Diceros bicornis minor: one gene and its partners. The protein of the gene in region 2 interacts with the protein of the main gene of each other region in a pairwise test. Links are inferred from orthologs where the notes say so. Each region holds a gene or a part of one and is shown on either strand. Other genes may lie near its edges.

What was found.
Region 1: the proteins of MTUS2 (region 2) and CTSZ interact in binary tests that used the Homo sapiens proteins (3 or more experiments, as listed by UniProt). The two-hybrid records come from large-scale screens. The link is inferred for Diceros bicornis minor from reciprocal best matches to the Homo sapiens genes MTUS2 and CTSZ.
Region 3: the proteins of MTUS2 (region 2) and SETD5 interact in binary tests that used the Homo sapiens proteins (3 or more experiments, as listed by UniProt). The link is inferred for Diceros bicornis minor from reciprocal best matches to the Homo sapiens genes MTUS2 and SETD5.

Annotation. Positions count from the first base shown.
Region 1 is NC_080758.1:4,674,469-4,681,570, forward strand, and holds the start of CTSZ (cathepsin Z), read left to right. Parts: upstream 1-4,096; 5' UTR 4,097-4,243; coding exon 4,244-4,383; intron 4,384-4,813; coding exon 4,814-4,977; intron 4,978-7,102. UniProt on the Homo sapiens protein: Exhibits carboxy-monopeptidase as well as carboxy-dipeptidase activity. Capable of producing kinin potentiating peptides.
Region 2 is NC_080748.1:12,171,028-12,178,085, reverse strand, and holds the start of MTUS2 (microtubule-associated tumor suppressor candidate 2), read right to left. Parts: upstream 3,005-7,058; 5' UTR 2,783-3,004; coding exon 548-2,782; intron 1-547. UniProt on the Homo sapiens protein: Binds microtubules. Together with MAPRE1 may target the microtubule depolymerase KIF2C to the plus-end of microtubules. May regulate the dynamics of microtubules at their growing distal tip.
Region 3 is NC_080741.1:82,473,312-82,480,835, forward strand, and holds the start of SETD5 (histone-lysine N-methyltransferase SETD5), read left to right. Parts: upstream 1-4,518; 5' UTR 4,519-4,528; coding exon of another isoform or gene 4,529-4,599; intron 4,600-5,417; 5' UTR 5,418-5,642; intron 5,643-7,524.

The DNA.
Region 1 (7,102 bases), on a different chromosome or scaffold from region 2:
GAATAATAGGAAATGTCTGCAGCTTGCAGGGTGGGAGCCAGACAACAGGGTACGAAGGAAGAAGGAAAGAGAGGACTTGGAGGCAATTCCATAGTAAACGAAAGCTCATCCTGTCGTCTTCTCCTTCAGTTTAGGAGATGGGCCGGCCCTGGCCTCACCTTAAAGTGTGTGTGTGTTATTTATCGGGATGAGGGGAAAAATCAACCTAATTTTTAGAAATGAGTAGGCTTTTGTATCATGGCCTTGGATCACGTGTTTGCCAGGAGACTTTATGGGGTAAAACAAGAAAGGGGGGACTAGATTCAATTGCCACCCGCAAGCCTCATGGGGCATACAGGTCTCTGACTGCTCTAGAGCCTGAGTCTTCCCACCTGTAAAATGGGGCGATAGCATGTGACGCACCTCACAGGTTGTGCCAAGGATCAAATGAAGACAGACATTTCACATACTGGAGAGTCTTCTAGAATGTCACTGTCTCTGCCTTTAAGCACCACTGGCGAGCGGGTATGACTCAGTTACATAAACAAAGAAAAGCCCAGGGCACTGGGTAGGCTTCCATGTAGAGAAATTTATAGTGGTTTCAGGGGAGACTCCGAGTCTCAAGGCCCCACTAGACTCACCCCAGATTGGACAGCGGGGATCATGACAGCTGACGAGACAGAGGCTGGAGCTAAGCTCAGGCAAGGGGGGCCTCAGAGGGGAACCGGTTGCAGGGCACTGCCCTGAGCCTTCTCCATTCCAGGCCAGAGGAGAAGATGAGTCTTTATCCACAAAATGCCCTCACAGGCATGCACAGTGGTGTCAGGAAGGGACACAGCTTTCAAGTTTGCAAAGTCCCCAAAGCTGCTGCCCAGGTGCCTCTGCTCTGATAAGAGACGAGCAGGTGGCTGGGGGTGGCCAGTCCAGCAGGTTCTTTGATGCAGCCTTCCTCTTCCTTAGTCCCAGCGGCCTTTTAAGTTTATCCGAGTGCCCTTCAGAGCTCCTGGGCCGGATGCCCTTCCCTAACGGCAGTGCATGCACGCGCCTCTGCTCTGCCCGCAGTCTGCAGGCCGGAATTTGGGTTTGGTTCGGTCCGTGGCAGGCCCCTCAACAGAACACATTTAGGAACCTCTGCTGAAAGGGATCCGTGCACAGTGGCAGTCACCCCTGAAGTGACGCAGCCAGTCCGCCTCTCAGAGCCATCAGCCAGGAGGGCACGCATCCGCCGACCACAGCTAAGTTCAGAGGCGAAGAAAGGGCCCCAGGGCCGCTTGGGTTCACGTGTCCGACCCGTCACAGGGGCTGAAGAGGCAATGAGTCACGTTGGACCTCACTTCTCCTTGCCTTGAAAGTTGTGGTTTCAAATGTCTGGACTCCCTCCCCTCCTCCTGCCGACTGAGTTGCTCCTATGTCAGAGAAATACTATGCCACAACGTGTCAGCTCTGGATGTCCCATGCGTTACCAGCCGGAAAACGTCACCCTCCCTCTCTGTAGCCTGCATTTCACGGGGATGAATGCTGCCTGCCTTCCCTCCATCTGTCTGACCCTTGCTGGAGGCCCAGCTCCAGAGTTTGCAAGGCCCGGAGTAAAATGAAAACGTGGGGCCCTGTTCAGTGCAGCATTACACCAGGAGCGGGGACCTCTGAGCTCGGGGCCCTGTGCGACTGCAGGGGTCACATGCCCGAGAAGCTGGCCCTGCCTGTCCTAATACCTTCTACACGAGGCAGACCTCTTCTAAGAACCCCAGGGCATCTTCAGAGCATCCAGGTCTCCCAACACTGCGAGAATGGCAAAGCTTGTATGCAGCGCATTTTCACCCCATATCAAGCGCACCCGGAGTCCACGGCCCAGTCGTCAGAGGCGAGGCCTAGCACGAGCCCTCCCCCTCCCGGCCTCCTGTTTCCCATGTTGTAAAACACGGGGTTGGACTTTGCACCTTCTGGGCCCTGACAGTCTATAGGTACTTGGGTGTCCCCACAAGATTTGTTACCCTGCAATACTGTGACCACTCTCGTCATTCTTCAGCAACATGAGCTTCTAGATTTTTCTCTAGAGACCAAAAACCCACCTCTTAGGCAGACATCCCGCCTGGATGACATCACAGGGACAATCCTGCAGGCTTTCTCCTCACTCCTCTCCACAAGGCCGATTCACCTTAGACATGGAGGAGAGGGCTGACGTGAGAAGGGGAAGGTCCAGCCGGCAACTCCTTTCGAAGCCACGCCGTTTACACCCAGAGTGAAGCTTTGAGGCCAGGCCCAGGACACCCGTTCCAGCAAACCAGTCCCTACAGCTCAAACCTGAGTGTTTTCTCACAGGCTCAGGTGGCAGCCGGGTCCCACCCCATCCACCTCCTAACGATGAGCTGACTGGCCCTAAGGGTTTTCAGGAGCTGACTTCCTGAGAAGATAAAAGACACATCAGTGGATAGAGCCCGTGTCTACACTTTACCTCAGCGATAGCTTTTTAAGAACAAGACTAGGGGGGCCGGCCCCATGGCGTAGAGGTTAAACGCGCGCTCTGCTACTGGCGGCCCGGGTTCGGATCCCGGGCGCGCACCGACGCATCGCTTGTCAGGCCATGCTGTGGTGGCAGTGTCCCATATAAAGTGGAGGAAGATGGGCACAGATGTTAGCCCAGGGCCAGTCTTCCTCAGCAAAAAGAGGAGGATTGGCATGGATGTTAGCTCAGGGCTGATGTTCCTCATAAAAAAAAAATAATAAATCAATAAAAAATAAATAAAAATAAATAAAAAAAAAAAGAACAAGACTAGGGGCCAGCCCAGCGGTGTAGTGGTAAAGTTCACGTGCTCTGCTTTGGGGGCGTGGGGTTCGCAGGTTCAGATCCCAGGCACGGACCTAGGCACCACTCATCAAGCCATGCTGTGGCAGGCAACCCACATATAAAGTAGAGGAAGATGGGCACAGATGTTAGTTCAGGGCTAATCTTCCTCAGCAAAAAGAAGAGGATTGGCAACAAATGTTAGCTCAGGGCTAATCTTCCTCACCAAAAAAAAAAAAAAAAAAAGAACAAGACTAACACTTCTGGGCTGATAAAGCAATGCCAGGCCTTTGCTTCTAAAGCCTCACTCTGCTCTGACAAGCACTGCCAGACAGGCTTCCCAGCCCTGCTAGGATTCTGTGGTCACCTCAGTGCTTCCAAAGGTGGTCATGGAAATTGCTGGAAGTCCACGGGGCAGCCACTTTGATTTCTGACTGCCAGCCTGGCACAGGCGGAGGGAGGGGCCGCAGGAAGGTGCCGAGTGCCCACTGAGTTCATCTTAGGACCCTACAGCAAAGGCCTGCGGGAGCCCTAGAACAAAACGCCTGGACCCTTGTCTTACAAGAAAAGGAAAGCCATTTTGTTGGGCAGGAGGAGGGGAGAAATCTTGTTAGGAAACCAAGGCGTGGGGGTCCCACTTCTGCTTTCAGTTCCCCATTTGACTATGAAGAGCTTTGTTAGCAAGAAACCTTTTCCAGCTCTTTGGAAGTTGGAATGTAGAAGTAAAGATTTATGTGCCAAGTGTAACTTTCTTTAGGGGCATTTTCTAGGGGCACCTCACCTTCCCTTTCTGTGAAGGGTACTCATCTATCCAGAAAGCGCCTGGGCCTTTGGGAAATAGGGTTCAGAAAGCCAGGCCAGGGCACAATTCTGTGGGACAGCTCAGGACTTGGGGAGATCCCTGCCCGTTCCTAGGGAGGCCTGGGCCCAGGTGGGATGCGGGGACAGGTGGCACCTCTCCAGGGCCGAGGGTCCAGAGAATCCAAGGCTGGCAGGGCCATTCAGACCCTGCAGCCCCCACCTCCTGCCCCAGGGCTCCTGAAGGTCTGACGATGATGCACTCAGTCAAGCCACCAAGCCACGTGGCTAGTGGCTAGTGGCTAGTGGCTAGTGGTGGGTCGGGTCTGGGGTCTGGCTCCAAGGCCTGGTGCGTGACCCCGAGTTCAGGCGCCCCCCGCCCAAAGGCGGAAACGGAGGCCCGGGCCGGCGGCTCCCTCGGGGCTGGCCCTGCGGCGGTCGGCCGGGGCGTGGCCGGGGTCACCGGGGGCAGGAGCGGGCGGCCCCGCCCCGGGGGTGTGTCCGGGCACCGGCGCCGCCACCTTAAGGGCCGGGCGGGGCCAGGTCCAGAGTGCGAGGGCCGGCGGGGCACGGGCTGGAGCGGAGGGGCCCGGGAGATCCGAATCGGGACCCGGATCAGGACTCGGATCAGAACCCGGAGCGGGATCCGAATCGGGACCCGGATCAGGACCCGGCGAGGGAGCCATGGTGTCGTCCAGGCCCGCGCGGCTGCTGCTGCTGCTCGTGCTGCTGGCGGGCTCGGCGCGGGCCAACCTCTACTTCCGCCGGGGCCAGAGCTGCTACCGGCCCCTGCGGGGGGACCAGCTGTCCAAGTTGGGGCGCAGGTCCGGCTGGCTTGGGGGGCTGGCCCATCTCCCGGGGCTTGGCGCGCACTCCCGCCCCCTTGGGGTGCCGGGAACCCAGGCCCCTGCCTCTCTGACCTTTGAGGGTGGAATCCAGCCCCTGTGATTGGGGAGTCCCTCTTGCTCTTTGGCATCCAAGGGAGCGCTGGTGTTGGTGGTTGGACAAGCCCCTCCTGTGCCGGGAGCAGGCCGGCCCACCTCCCTGGCCTTTGGGGCTTTGCTTGGGGAGCAGTGTGGTTCCTGCATTTCCGGGGGCCCCTGCCTCCTTCAATTCTGAGAAGGCGGGGTCTCCCAGTGTGACATGGGTTCACCTAGTGATGAAAGTGTTCACCCCCATTCCCTTTCATTCTGGGGAGGGGAGAGGGCACCAGGAGCCTCAGTGATGATTCTGGGGGTGGTGGTCTCTTCCCAGGACATACCCCCGGCCTCACGAGTACCTGTCCCCATTGGATCTGCCCAAGAGCTGGGACTGGCGCAACGTGGATGGCGTCAACTATGTCAGTGTCACCAGGAACCAACACATCCCCCAGTACTGCGGCTCCTGCTGGGCCCACGGCAGCACCAGCGCCATGGCGGGTAGGTGGAGGGCCCTTGGCTCCACAAGGAGGCCAGGAAGCCTCCTTGTCAGGGTCCCAGGGACCTGTGATTCCATGCCAGGACATTCAGCCTGGGATGGGGGCATCTGAGCCTCTCAGGACTAGGGGAGCTGACCTGTGCCCTCTGCTGCCCCTCACCATCGAGGAAAGGCTGAAGGGACACAGGCTAGACAATGTCTCCGCTGTGCAGGGTGGGCGTGGCTGGGGCCTGTGGGTGGCAGGCAGGACTAGGACTGAAGCCCAGTGACAAGTGGCTCCCAGATGCCTTCTGTCTCCCAGAGCTTGTGACCCCGGCCATTTGGGATGGAACCAGAAATTTAACTCACCGAACCCCCTGCTGGTGTTTGGGGGCGTGGAGGTGAAGCTGCTGTTCAGCAGCAGTCAATATGTGAGGGGAAGGCCTGTCCTGGGCTTGGAGTATTGAGTGGGGCTGGCCAGTTTTCTCAGCAGGACCTTAGCCAGCTGGCCACGGTGAGGGCGGGAAGGCTTGTGGCGAGGAAGGAGGGGGACGCTGAGGTCCTTACTGCTTGAGAAGGCTGCTGGGCCTTGCCTTGAGGAGAGGAGGGAGAAGAAGAGACTTCAAACCATCCTTGGGGCCTTCATTCAGCCCCACGCCTGCCTGGTACATGTGGGAGGGGCTCTGCCATCTCCAGGGGGAGCCCAGGGTTCCAGAAGCCTGCACTGGAATTCCATTGGAGAAGGGACTCTCTAACTGGGAGTCTGGCCTTGGGAGGCCTTGGGTGCATTGCCTCCTGCCTGACTTGGGTATCTCACGGGGCAGTCTTGCTGTAGGTGTGGCATTGTGTTAAACGGATTAACAGCCACGTGGCTACTGCTGCTTGCCAAGGCTCGGTGGCATCATCGCCCTTGTCTGTGCCTCTTCTCATTTAAGCCTCCCAGCTGCACTGTGGTTGCTCCCAGTTTGCAGATGAGGAAACAGACACTCTGGTAGGAAGGTCAGGAGACTTTGCCATGGTGTGAGTGACAGCCGAGAGTAGAACCCAGAAGCCTGGGCTTTGGGCCAGGACCTCTGCTGGGCTGTCTTTAGGACGAGGAGTGGAGTCTGGACCCCAGAGCCAGCTAGCTGGGGCATCTGGGGCATCTGATGGGGTCTCCCTGGTGGCCCTGCCCTGTCTCTCTCTTCTGACTCTGCAGGTGGTCTGAGGCTCTGGTTCAAGGTACTGGAGCCCTTGCTGGCGGCTGAGAAGGCCCTCTGACTGGAGTGGAGATGGACAAGGCCCTGGAGAAGGGGGAGCCAGAGGCTTAACCACTGGAGCCACTGGGAGACCTTGGGCCAAGCGGGCAGGCAGGGTGTGGGCAGGCCTTGAGGCCGAAGTTCAGGGCAAAGGCTGGGGCAGGAGTGGAGCTGGCTTTGAGGAACTGAAAGAGGGCCTTTGTGGTGGGGCCCTAAGGGTGGGGGAGGGGGAGCTGAAAAGGTCTTGGGGAGGGGAGGGGCCTGGCAGAAGCCTTGAGGGATCTCAGAGGAGGAGTCACGTGCTAAGACTGCATTTGTAAAAGACTGCAGGGCGGGGAGTGGAGGGGCTGGCTGGAGGTGGGCCCTTGATGTGCTCCCTCTTCAAACAGGTCTTGGCTGGGAGGGTTAACCCTGCCACATTTCTGGAGTGGAATCTCTCTCCTGGGCAGACGACTGCTTTTGCCTCTTTCTCCCTAACCTTCTGACACCTTCCACAGCGGCAGGTCCCTTCTTCCTCTTTCGCTGAGAAAATAGAAGCCCCCAGAAGGGGACTTCCACAGGCGCGGGCCCAGCTGGCCGTAGTTTGCCTTCCTTCCTGTCCAAGCCCCTCGTTCACTGTGAACAAATGAGCAGGGGCCTCGACGCCACCCCACCTCAAGCCACCACCCCACTTCTGGGCTCCTCTCCTCTGTCCTTGAACCACTCCACCGGCCCCGCCCTTGCCAAGGTCGCTGGCCACCATGCAGGCAGGTCCAGTGCCAGCTCCCAGGCCTCACCCCGCTTGGTCGAGCTTGCCCAGCTCTCCAGACGCCTTCCTGGCCTTCCACCACACGGCCGGGTCTCCTTCTTCCTCCCTGGACGTTCCTTCCAGCTCCTTGGCCAGCTCCTCATCCTCTCAACTTCCCAACAT
Region 2 (7,058 bases):
CTGTGGGCCCAATGCACAGCAGGCGCTCAACCGAACGTCAGTTGTAATTATTATTCTCACTTAAAACAAAGAGCCCACACCTAACACATCATTTTCTACTCACTGTGTTCTTCACATGCATGAACGCGAGAATCTCCCGTAAGGAAAACATTCCCCCTTGGGGGGTGAAGTCTGATCAATTTGAACAATATATTTATTTTGGATTTTTTTTTCCATTGACCTGGCTTATAGAAGAATTAGCCTCACTTATTTAAACATAGGAGCCAATTTAAATGCAGACATCTAACTTCATATGTATTATATGGTATTTAAACAAGTCTCCTTAGATGTTAAATCCATCTCATTATGACCGCCAAACTCTTCTAGTCAAAAGTGTTCATTTGTCTATGATCTCCTCTACTTAAAAACATCCATTTCTGTACAAGTGTATCCATCAAAATCTGCAATTTGCTAAGAGAGGATATTCTGTTTTCATAAATCATCGAAAATACACAACAAACTTTAGGATGTTCAACCTATAGTTCGTACCACAATGACACTCTCTTACCTCCTGCAAAAACTTCTCACTCATTTGGCTGAAATGGTGTCCTGGAGGCTTGATCCCGGACACCATCAGTCCAGAACTGAAGACCCTGGGCTTCTGCAGGTCTGGCTTGAATTTCTCGTAGAGGTGGGCAGACGGTTTCAGGTCACCACTCGCCGCCTTCTCCTCTTGGGGAAGAGGCATGGTACATGTGGGCGGAGCGTACGGAAGCCCCACTGGAACCAGCGAAGTGTCCACCTGGCCAAGGGCCTGAGGATTCCTCCTGATGTAGGTGATGATCTTAGGCCTCACGTGCTTGGGTTTGGGCATGACGACGGGCTTGGGCTCTGTCCTTTCCTCTGTTTTTTCAACCTGGTAGTTCTCCTTTCCCTCCTGTGAGAAAGGTACATCCTCGGAACGTACGACGACAGGCTTGGGGATCCCAGTGGGGCAGGTGTCCTTGTCAGGCACTTTCGGGGAAGGGGTCAACAACCGCGCACTGTCGGTGGGAGGTGGGGCAGCCGAGGGTGACCCCGTGTCTACACTCAACACACCGAAGTCCTGAAAACTGCTACTGGGTGGTGTAGGCTGGTGGGTCACATTCACAGTTGTCTCTGGGTGGAGGGGTGCTGGGACATTGAGAGGAGAATCTGTACTTGCTGGGGTACTTTCAGTCTTAACTGCATTTTCTAGACGGTTCCTACTTTTGGCAACAGATGTAATGATCTCTTTGCTTTCCCCTGCTTCTGAGCTGCTGCTTTGAGGGTCAAGGGGCTCAGGGACCTCAGTTCTGCTCTCTCCAATCAAAGCATCTGAAGTGGAAACCGTAGCACTGTCCCTGGTCCCACTGCCCAGCACCTCTCTCCCCTCACTCACATCCAAGGGCCTGCTGTCAGTTGGATCTTTAGGAATAAAATCTACATGACCATCACCTGGTGAGATGCTGCTGGATGCCATTTCACCCAATTTCCTAGCTGCACTTGGTGAATTTTTGCCAGTGGGCTGATTATCAGCAGCTCCCAAGGAATCGGGGCTCTGTTGGGGGGTTGTTTGAAGAAATCCCTCCTCACCCAGGCTGACTGCTCTCTTCTCCTGCTCACCACTCCTGCCTCTTCCCACGCCAACGTGGTGGAGACTGCCATGTGACAGACTGCTCAGTGTACCAGCGGTGGCTTCTTGCTGTGCTTCCCCACATGGCCCCTTTCTCTCTAGGGACAACATACTATCCTCCTCAGGACATCCCAGACCCTCCGCCTGGGTTGACTTTAATTCCTGCACGGCCCTGGGTTGGACAAATTTCAGCTCCGGCCTGGACTCTGCCTTTCCCTGACCTAATTGTGCTTCTGGCTTACTCAGGACTTCCTTTGATGCTGAAGTTGAATTCAGAGCACGCTCTGGGTGGGCAGAACGTGATGTGCTCTTGTCACTAACTTTCGGTACGTGTGCCCCCTCCATCTGGGTCTCTGAGGGGGTGGCCTCCTTGGTTTCTGAGGTAGATGATTTAGGACGACGCAAACTCTTGCCCTCTGAGGTATTGTCAGCTGGAAGCAAAGCTGCCCCTAGAGAGTGGGCTGTCAATGTCCTCTGTGGCCCCTCCCCACCGCTGGGCACATGACAGGGGGCTTCAGGGGAGTCCAGCGGTGCAGGCTGCAGAAACTGCCGAGTCAGGCTCCCAACACGCTCCTTTGTGAGCACGTCCACTGCAAGAGCAGAGCTGCTTGCTCTTTCTAAAGAATGCCTTCTCAATTCCTCATTGTCAAGGGTCTTTGCCAATTTATCCTTGGGAACAGGCCGGGGAATTTCAACATCCCTTTTAGCCAAAACCTCTGGACTGGACTCACCCATAACATTCCTCCAACTTGACAGGCTTGGTCCCTGAATACTCCGAGGGGTCTGCGGGATATGTGTGCCTCTCTCCATTGTGTGCTCTTCATTTAGTTCTCTAGGAACGGTTGGAGAAAACTTAAAATCTTTCAGGCTGGTGGGGCCGGCGTGAGATCCTTTCCCAATGCCCTGAAGTTGGTGAAATTCCTTATTGAAATGGGTGCCATTTCCTGGCTCACTTGTATTTGCATTTCCAACTTCATCTCTCAGGTCACATGTCTCAGACTCATCATGAGAGGAACTGACCTCCAATGTGATTTGATTGGCATTGGTATCCCCCAGACTTAGGATACTCTCGTTATTATTTTTCACTCCATTTCGGTTGTCCCGCAACTGAGTGTAACATGATTTCTTAGGAGCCACTGGGACGCTCATTTTCAACCCTTCAGTGGGGGCTGCTTGCCATGCAGTCCTACTTAATGGAAAGGGGCTTCCTTCAAGCTGCTATTTGATTAATAGGAAATTCTCAAGCTGCCTGTTGCCCCCTGACAATGTCACATTGCGACACTGCTACAATCATTTTCAGAGCAGTTTTAAAACCAAGCATTGTCTTGGCATACAGCAGGATGACTGATCTGCTAGGTTCCTGCTGAATGAGAGCCAATTAGTCCATGAGACCTAGAGAGAAATAAAAATAAATCAGATTAGATCGACAGAGATTCTCAGGAGAAAAAATCATAGTAAACACAGATTACAATCACTTTCATAATATTATTTAATTCACTCTATCCACATATTTCTCAAAAACCTTTCAGATAGGGGCTCCTGCTGGCCAAATATGGGAAAATTGGAACATCAAAATGATTCATGTTAGAAATAGATTATGAAAACATAGTAAATCTTAAAATTAAATTTTAAAAACCTACAAGTTCATACCAAGACTGATTAAAAAGGGTGGAGGAGAAAAGAAGGCTCTTCTTTACAGAATATCAACTAATACAGGAAAAATTATAGAATTAGAAAAAGCATCATTTTGTAGTCACCAGAGTAATAATTATCTTGGGCAAGGGACACCAATGGTTGAAAAATACTGGTTGAAAGGTTGTTTGGGGAACAGGATATTCATGGAATCATAAGGTACCATCCTCCAGATTACTTTATTTCTTACAAAAGAAAAATTTTATCTTTACAATGGAGAAAGCTGGTAGGCACCACCTTAACTAAGTGATCAAATTTACCATGTCACTAGTGGAAACTGACACCACGTGCTCCTGATGTAGGCAGTCCTCAGCACCTATATCACCTATGCAGTATTCTCGCTATGAATGTTCAACCCGAATTTAATCATGAGGAAATAATCAGACAAATTTAAAATAACTGGCCTAAACTTGCCTCCAAAATGCTAACAGATATCTACGAATGATGCGTGATCCTTGACTGGATCTTTGATTTTACAAAAAATTAGCAAAGGATATTATTGGGACAATTACAGGTTTCTATATGGATTGTATTTTAGGTAAAGGTATTTTATCAATGTTAACTTTCTTGGGTGTATAATACTATTGTGATTATATCAGATAATCTTTGTTCTTGGAAGATACATGCTTTTAAACATGACATGTCTTTTAATGACATGTTGTCTGTAACTTACTCTCCAGTGGTTCAACAAAGAGAAAAATATGTGTGTCGGGGGGTGGGTGGGGATGCATATGAAAGAGAGAGAGAGAAAATGCAACTGTGCCAAATGATAATTTGAAAATCTAGGTGATCCATTCTACTATACCTACAACTGTTCTATAAGTTTGAAATTTTTCAAAATAAAAAGCTGGAGGAAAATTCTATCCCAGCCTTCAGGGCCTGCATGATCCAGCCCATACACACCTTTCCAGCCTCATCCTCACTACTCACCCTCTTCCTCTCTAGGCTGCAGCCACACTGGCCTCATTCTTCATATTACCATGTTCCTTCCTCCCTGCTTCGGGGGGGCTTTGCTCGTACTCTTCCATCTGCATAGAATGCGGACTCTTCCCTCAACGTTACTCAACTAACCCCTTTGTATTCATCAGTTTGCAGCATAAGTACCACTTCCTCCAGGAAGCCTTCCCGACCTACTAGCCTTTCCGACCTCCTTCTATAATGACCTTTTATCATATCCCATATTTTCACTTTAAAAAAAAAAAATCAGATGTGCTAGACACTAAAGAAAATATCGTTTAACACCTAGCATGTGTGTTAGGCACTTAATATGTATTTGTAGCATGAATGAATGAATGAATGAATGATGAAGAACAATGTTATTTTTACTCTCATAGGGCTTAAAATCTAACATAGTATTTAAATTTCTATGAAAGTAGACTCACAGATCATCCCTAAACCTCTCAATTCAAGGCTAACATTGTTTTATCCACTACTGTGAATACATTTTATTAGGCACCAGGGATGGGAGAGTTTAAAAGGAACAAGGTTCCGCTCCGTCCGCAATTCCCCCAATGGGGATTCAAAGTTAACAGCCTTCCACACCTTCCCCCTCATTCATACAAAATATGCGAGTACTGAGATGCACATTACGTGGGAGGCTCTTGTCACGTTTCCACTGAAATAAGTTACGTGGCAACCTGCTTGTCTTCTCTTCATCATTGTTTAATATATTATTTCATACATTCAAAAGAATATTTGTGGGCTGTCCCTGTGGCTTGGCGGTTGAGTGCGCGCGCTCCGCTGTTGGCGGCCCGGGTTCGGATCCCGGGCGAGCGCCGACGCACCGCTTCTCCGGCCATGCTGAGGCTGCGTCCCACATGCAGCGGCTGGAAGGATGTGCAACTACGACATACAACTATCTACTGGGGCTTTGGGGGAAAAATAAATAAATAAAATCTTTAAAAAAAAAAAAGAAGGGGGCCGGCCCGGTGGCGCAAGCGGTTAAGTGCGCGCGCTCCGCTGCGGCGGCCCGGGGTTCGCTGGTTCGGATCCCGGGCGCGCACCGACGCACTGCTTGGTAAGCCATGCTGTGGCGGCGTCCCATATAAAGTGGAGGAAGATAGGCACAGATGTTAGCCCAGGGCCGTCTTCCTCAGCAAAAAAAGAGGAGGATTGGCGGATGTTAGCTCAGGGCTGATCTCCTCACCAAAAAAAAAAAAAAAAAAAAAAAAAAAAAAAAAAAAAAAAAAAAAAAGAATATTTGTGTATTCATACATGTATATACATTCATGTATACATAATACATATACATATATATATATACACACAAATGTATGTTATAAAGCAAAATAACATAATGAACACCTAGAACCAAGGACTGAGAAATCACCAATAAATTGCAGTTACCTCCATGTTCCTCTCCATCCCAGCTCCCAACTTTTCTAACTTAATTTTTCACTTGACAGCCTATCATGGACATCCCTAAAAACTCAGCTGATAGAGCTCTCTTTTCCTTTCATTTCTTTTGCATCTATTACATAAGCATGTATTTTTTACTTAAATGAGATCATTTCCTATAAGCTGGCTTTTTGTCAGTTTTTTTTCTTTTTATTTGCCCCTTCTTCCCTTAGCCCAAGACACGCTAACATCCTGGTGCAGGTCTCTCCACTCCTTTCCCCATGTCCGTATACTCCTATCCAGATACACACACCTATAGCAGTGTGTGCTTTTGTTTCCCACCACACTGCTCTTCTGTTCTCTTCATGTCACACTCACTATCTTCATCCTCCCACTTCCTTGTGTCTCCCACATTCTTTTTCTCCTTCTCTGTCTTCTTCCAGGCCTGCCTTCAGTGAACCAGGGACACCGCCAGCTCCAGCCTTGGCCCGATACAGCCCTCAAGCCTAAGCAAGGTGCTGACACTCTGCTCCCAACCTCGGTTCCCTGACACAGAAGTAATTCTCAATGAGCCCACATTTCTTTCTTTACTCCATTTTAAAAGTGTTTTCCTTGAAGATACAAATGTCCTCTGGGGACAAATATAAAAAGCATGTGGGCAAATCAATAAGACAACAGTTTAAAAGAACACTGTGCTCTCTGGGTCAGGAAACAGGTATCCCAGAAAGTCAGGGAGAGCAAGGAATTCCATAGACATGGGCCATCCACAGAAAGTGAGCATCTCTGATTCTCTGTGGGCAAAATTTAAAGCATGAAACCAAGAGCCCTCTTTGGTTTGAACTATTGAAGCTGGGAGAAAGAAAGAAATGAATTCTCAGCAGTGACAGCAAAACCAGAGCATCATAAACCACAATCCACAATCTGACTGCTAGAAAGTGACAAACAGGTGCAAAATCAGTATCTTGCTAGAAAGAATTGTATTTTAATTTTTAAAGAATTACATAATAAATGTTCTTTTTCTTTGTCAGTAAACAATAAATGTTACATTGGTAAGGGGATGGAAAGGTAGAACCTCCGAGGGCCCAAGTATTATTCTCAGCACTAATCCATATCTGCAAAATTTAATGTTTAAATTATAATTAATTTTATTTAATCTTAAATTTTAAGTTAAGTTATTTAATATTTGTAATGGCCTCCAGAGATAGATCTTAACATCCCCTTGCCTTTTTTCTTTCTCTCCAGGTAAGGAAGTGAAAGCACAGAGAGGGTAACATTCCCAAGGTCACACAGCTAAGAAGTGGCGGAGCAGGGACAGAGACAGGAAGGTAAAATCCAGGCAGAAAGTGGAAGCTGTAAAAAGAAACGCTGCCTATTGGTGGAACTGTATAGATCACAC
Region 3 (7,524 bases), on a different chromosome or scaffold from region 2:
AGTTAAAAAGACAGGAGTAATTATAAACCATTTCTGGCATGTTCTCTTTAACTAACAGCCTTTTCTCTAGAAACGGTATGTGAATGGTGACTTCTCAAAAGAGTACTCAGTATTAGGAGACAGTCTGGTTCTACTTCTGAATGCAAGAACTTACTAGTTAGTGTTCCTGCAGATTCTAATGGACTGTTCTGGAAATAGTTAAATTGAAATGAAGTTGAAATTCTGATGCATTTATTTTTCCCCCTACCATACACTCATATACTTATTTCTCCTTTTCTCCTGTCATTTCTTATCTTTCTTATTTATTGTTGCTAAAGGAGTCTACTTTTTATTCCTTGGTTTATTTAATTTTTTTCTTCCTTCTTTTTACTGCTACCTTCATACCTTTTGTTTTTATAATCCCGAGTATGCTCTTTTAAAATTGTTTCTAAAGAATAGTTGATTTTCCAATTTTTAATAAATTGGAAATCCATAAAATATCAACATAGAGTACATTTCCTCTCTACTGCTTGGTAATTGGAATCCCATGAACAGCTCTTTTCACATATAATGATATATTAACATGTCAAGTGTTAATACCTCATTCTGGCTTATGTTAAGTTTGACTTTTTTCTCCCAAAAGTACTGGATCATGACCTATTTTATTTTCGTTTTTGGAGAGTGGAAAATTGATTAAGGCTCTGTTTTTCCACATGTTTCCATTATGGAGTTGGCCACAAATAGAATTGACTCCTTTTTGTCACTCTTTTACTATAGTTGGACAAGAAGATAGGTGGGGTGGAGTGGGAGGAAGGAAGGAATCATATGAACTTGTACTTTAAATAGGTAATGGTAGGTCCTTGTCTGACTGGAGAGTAAATTTGACATTTGATTACAGAAAAGCCTCTGAATTTAGGAAGGGGTCACTGGAGAAGAGAAGCATCTCCTAGGAAAGATAGAGAGAGAGGAATTTCTTGGGAAATGGGAGAGAATTCTAATTTGAAGGAAAGTGAAGGATTACCTAGTGATATAATGAAGTATTTGCCACTTCTTAAGTCAAATAAAGATAATTTCCTTTTCTACCCTTTATTTAGGTCCTGGCTTTAGAGGAAAACAGGATATAAAGGTTAAAGGACAAAAATACAGTACTAGGTGGAACATTGGTTGGTAAACAAGGCAATATGTTTACAGAAATTAAACATAAAATTATCATTAAAATATTATTTCTGTAGAATCCTATTCTGTATCCATCAGTGTTCTTTCTGTACTAATTTGTGTCTCAACTTTTTCTAGGTCTTCAGAGCTACTGGAAGATAATTTTTGGGGACTTCATATTCAGAGGTCTATAAAAAGGTGACTGAGCCAAATAAACTCTTTTAATTCATTTTAATTTTTGTATTTTAATGAATGTTAAAATCATATGTTGAGATAATGGTGATCATAATTCACTTAGCAAGTATTTCTTAAACACCCTGTATGTGCCGGACATTGTTCTGGACATTGGAACTACAGTAGAAGATAAAACAAAAATCCCTGACCTCATAGAGTTTATATTCTGGTAGGAAGAGACAGACAAATTAACAAGTGAAAGATATCTTGAAATTGTTCCACCTAGAGACAGAGTTAATTCTTACTACTCTCTCTAGGACGCTCTTCAAACTATGTGATAAATTAATAACTGCTATAACTACTAAGCTTGGTAAACTAAACTATGAGTCCATTATCTTGGTTTATAAAACTGTAGAGTGATTGTAATAAGAAAATATTGCATATAGAACAATCGGTTAAAAGTTCTTCAGTTAACGTTTTAATAGCTACATTTTGCAGAGTGTCATTAGAGGAAGGAACTACTCTCAGGGTTATATGAGAAATTTGGTTTTGTTATCATTTTTTGAATTAAGAAGCCCCAATATTGTGAAAACATTATTTAGAACAAGATGGCCAAGCTGACCTATAATGATTGTCTTCATCAGAAGAGTGGAAGGATCATGTAAAACTAGACAAAAGGAAAATGGAGGAATTCATGAAAGAAATTCATAGTTAACTACTTAGTGTTTCTTAAAGTTATTTATCAACTATCCAAATTAGATGGGTTGGGATTTCATTAAGGAATGTATTAATCGTTTATTCATTCATTAAGCAGCTATTATCTGGAGTAAATTTTTCATCTTTTCCTTTTAAACATTAGCTTAGGTTTATAAGTTTTCTTTTATCTAGAAGCCTACTTTTTTTACGGGCATATAATAGTAATGGCTGTGACAAAGGATTTTTAATGGTGTTGAGTAATTTTTTTTGTCCTTTACTGAAAATATAACACATGATTCAGATTCCTATATTGGTCGGGGGAGGTATGATCATTATCAGACTCTGATCGGGTTATCAAACCAGGCAACCTCTGGGCTTTTTTTCTTTTTATTTCAATTCTACAGTCATACTAAAATTAGAGAAAGAGTTGTAACCAACTATCTCCAATATTTAACTGTGCTCTTTGGGGCTTATTTGATATGTATTTTCTCTTCCATCATTTGTAGATTTTATTTCAATTTCCCAGAGGTTTGGAGGATGTACTGCCTAAATTTCTGTTTGGATATATTGTTAGGGAAAGGAAACATCTGTGTGTAAGATTAGCCCAAAGGCAGAAAGTTATATTAATCACTTCTCTTTTATGAGCTGTGAGGAAGCAATAGATAGGAAGATTTTTTTTCTTTTCATTTCAGTCCCGAGTCTAGCACTATGTCACCTCCAGTTAAGTTGGAATGGGTGTATTGCCACACCCAGATTTGGAGAGTGCTAGATCCGTTGGTGAGATCTAGCTGTTTCAAAGTATAGGTGCCAGGGAAGACTGCTTATAGCAGTTTATAGCTGTTCTGTCATTCTAAAATAGCAACACGAAAGAGTAGTTTATCTTTATGCCTTAAAAATCTTGGCCTGATTCACTGTTTACAATTTATTTTCTTATCCCCATAAATTTGCTTCATATATCAAAATAAGATTCAAGCACCTCACATCATCTACCATTTGAAATTTGCCTTAAATCCCTTGGATTGACTCAATATCATGTACTTTTCATTCCATTTGGGTTTTTTAGTATAAATAATCATTTGACTTTTCTACTGTCTTGTCTTATCATGAATCAGTATATCAATCATGACTCTTTTTGTAGTATTTTTGCAAAAATCTGTATTAACCTGAATCTTTGACATTCACATTTTCTTTCTTCCCTCCCACATAAAATGCTTGTTGTTTGGTCCTTTTAATGGTTTTTTAATGTTAATACAAAACCACTAACGTAAAATCATGCAAAGTACAGTTTTTTCTCTTTGCATCATACCTCCAAATCTCTTAATCTACTTTTGCTTTTTTACACTTCAGTAGTTTGTGAGTCTTTCTGTTCCCAAATTCCACTGGTTGTGGTCACCAGCTCAAGGTATCCTCACTCCTTTTCCATACAAAATTTTCTAATCTTTATCATGGAACGGTACTGTGGTTTATGTTTTTATTCACACCTAGCAGTGGATATTATGTCACAAATATAGTTGTTAAAATAATTGCATCTTCTGGGGCCAGCCTGGTGGGGTAGTAGTTAAGTTCGCACACTCTGCTTCTGTGGCCCGGGGTTCGCAGGTTTGGATCCCCGACATGGACCTACGCACCGCTTATCAAGCCATGCTGTGGCAGGCGTCCCACTTATAAAAGAGAGGAAGATGGGCACGATGTTAGCCCAGGGCCAATCTTCCTCAGCAAAAAGAGGAGGATTGGCAACAGATGTTAGCTCAGGGCTAATCTTCCTCAAAAAAAAAAAAATTGCATCTTCTCCCAAAATTATAGTTAAAATGGTTTAAAAGAAAGGAAAAGAGCATTCTGTGACGAAAGAAGGCAGTAAGAAGCAGCTGTATCCAATCAAATATAAACAAGTTGATCTCTTTTATCATATTTAATTTGGAATTTTATCATTTAATTTACCATTAGCTCCTGGTAAAACTGCATTTATTTGTGGAATAGAAAAAAAAGTTTAAATGAAGATCTTGAATTGTTAAAGAATTTAGTTAAACTATGATATTTCTATTAACCATCCTGTATTTTAAGACTTGTTTCTTAGGTCTTAGCTGCCAGAAAATTTTGTTTGATGAGCATTTGTAGAATGGGGGAAATGTGCTTATTAATGAGCTATGTAGACAATTACTTTCCCTTTATCTGAAAAGAAAAGAAAAATTAAAATAGAAATGAAAAGTAAGCATAACTTTTTCTTCCTCTCTTTGTGGAATATTAATGCATTACAGAGTAAACATAGGACAATGTGTAGATCCCTTGCTGTACTTCTTTTATATTTATCCCTTAAAAGCCTTGTTCAAAAAATGGAAAAATATTCAGTAGCCTTTAGGATAAATTTAAAGAACTCTCTGGTTACTACGTATTTTTCTTTTCTATGGCAGGCTTCCTCATGTCCATAACATGTTGGTTGAGGCTCCGCAGCTCACCCCCACTCTCAGAGTGGCCAGTCTCCATTAATTGGACCCCGTGATTTCTACTTTCTGCTGTGTTGGACGTCATGAGCATTGCAATCCCTCTGGGAGTCACCACACCAGATACATCCTACTCAGATATGGCTGCTGGATCAGAGTAAGTGCTACTTCCTTAGGTAGTAGGTGCATTAGCAGTTTATGTGGAGACAGCTTTCTTATGGGCATCTAATAATAAATTTGTAGTATTTTCTATACCCAAGCCTAGCCCACTATAAATGATATTAGACCTTTCCTTTTCACCCATAGAAGCTGGAGGAAAAAAAGAGTTAGAAGAGAAGAGGGAGGAAAAGAATTTGGGGGACAGGATTTCCGAGTAAATAATTGAGTTAAATTTGTAAAGTAGTGATTACATTTTCGTTAGTTTTGATGGGTGGGGGAGATCGAAATAAAGTAGGTGTCAATACCTGCTTCTGTAGAGTTAATGATTATTCTGATGGATGGAGATAGGGAGGAGTTCTCTCCAACTGATTTTCCTTGAAGGCCTCTTCCTATGTACTTCTCAATGTTCTAGAGTAAAGGGACTGGAACTTTATATGGACAGGTTACTTAGACCTTCTGACATTTGGGGTAGAAAACAGAAAGCAGTGTCATTCTATTTTTTATAATATTCATTGCCTAGAAAGAGGACCTTCAAAATCAGTGGTACCAAACTTTTTTTTCAGCTAAGAGCAGCTTTAGGAATTCAGTTTGTCGAAAAGCCCAATCCCTAAAATAGACTCTCAATTCTTGAAGAATTTAAATGCCAAATGGCAATGAAGGTAGGCCTTCATTATAAAACTTTATATATTATTCACAGTTTTAAAAATTTTAGCTTTTTGTATCCCTTCTCTTTTAAGTTGTCCAAGATTCCCCCTGCTCACAGATTCCCCCTCTTGTCCTTTTACCTCCCTTGTACCCAATCTTCCTTGCTTACAGAAAGGAAGTGGAAGCCCCCTACCTTTCAAGACGAAGTGGCACTACACCAGGATGTGAAAGTCCAGCGAAAGAGACCCAAGGGGCCTAGGGGGCAGCACACCCCCAGAAGCCAAGTCTATTCCAGGCAGTACCAGGGATTAGGGTCTGGGCTGGAAAAATCCTGGTGTTTTGAATATGTTCAGGTCCAGTTCAGACTCTTGATCCCACAGCCACTTCTTGAGTGAGGTGGGTGTTGCTCTAATTGCCCTGTTTCTCTTGCCATTTTCACAATCCCTGGGGATTCTTCCCCCTTCAGCAAAGCAAAGCAACTGTACCAGAACTCTGGGTTCAACTGCATCCCTAATTAATAGTGGTTTTCTTCCTTAAAACTGAGAATGTTAGTAAAGAGCATGTACATTTCTTCAAGGCCTCATAGGATAACTTAACTGTTTGCTGACTTTGTTAAAGAGGAAGACTTAAAATGAAGCTACCCTAAAAAGCAGTATATTATATTCTGGGGTGGTCTAGAATTGAAAGCAGTTTTTGCCCTTATTCCATATAAGAAGAAAGATGGAGGGAGGGGGATGGGGAAGAGTGGATTGTGTTCCTTCCATGGCTTTTTTTCCTGTTTTGTTTTTTTATTTTTTTGCATGCTAAGATTTTAGTTATGCTAGTAGCTGAGACTTCCAATTTTACAACTGTTTCCCTAATAAACTACTGAAAAATCTTCCTGCGTTAGTAGATAACATAGTTTGTATAGTGTTAATGGATTTTTATAAAGTCAACCACTAGCCTCCTATATGGATTAACAAACTATATAGGTAGATAGCATTAACTTTTGTGAGAAATTTCAACAAAAAGATTAAATCAATGAGTTTGAGATTAGTAGATAAGAAAAAGACCTAAAGCAAGTATTCTTAAAACTGGTATTTTTTCCCAATATACAGAGATGATTGCCCATAAATGTTGCTAGGGAGTCCAAAAGTAATTGAAGAAATAAAAAATACTTCTAGCCTAAAAATTTGACTGCAGTGTTTCTATTTCCTGAAATGTTTTAATCTATAATCTCCAAACAGATTTCTGTTACTGTGGTTGTAACTAATTACACAGTTATTCCTTTAGTATTTCTACAAAGCAAGAGAATTCAACAGTTAGCTTTCGTACCAATCTGTTAAATTATAGATAGTATTTGTTAACACTTCACCATGCATATTCCTCTGTCATGCATATTCCACTGTTCTGGGCACTCTTAAGATTAAACCTGGTGTGAAGGGCAACATACCCACCTAAATAGAAGACCTAGACCTTACCTCATGGGATTTTAAATCTGATGACAACTATATGCACTATGCATTTTTTTTTGTATATTTGTAGGAAAACCTCTAGATGTTATAATAGAAGCAAAGATTTTTCTGATTTTACAATACTGCCATAAATGAATTTCAGACATTTTCTAAGAGGTAACATTATAGCAGCAGATTGCATATTGTACTTAGAACACAATTGATGGAGTATATCTGTTGTAAGCATGGCTTCTGTGTACGTACCCGACTGTCATAGCAGTTCAAACATAGGGGAAGAAAGGCTATAAATACTTTTGCATAAAACGATTGGCTAACAAGACATGCAATCCTAACATTCCAAATTTTTAATCCATATTTTAAAATATAGATAAGAGCTGAATATATGTCAAGGAATATCCTAGGAAATCCTGTAGTTACCTGCCAGCATATAACTATGTATTAATCAGTAACCAGTATGGAAATTGCAAAGTTTCCTCATCAAAAGATATGAGTAAATTTTAATATTTGGCATGCATAGCAATGTATAAATGCTGTGCTTGACTAGAAAGTATTATGAAGTGGGATGGCCTTTTAACCTCCACAATATACATTTTATTTTTATTCCCTAGACTTGCACATGAAGTGCATATGTTCATATTTACTCAGTTTGGAGATGGGTAAGATACAACCAACATAGCTCCATCTCCATGGCCATCTTTTATTTCATGCCACTTTCCTTTTTCCCGTCCAAAAATAAATCCATTCCTAATAAACAGCTATCATGTTTCACCCCATGTGTTTAATGGTACAAAATCTCTTATATAAAATATGTACAGCTCTTTGGG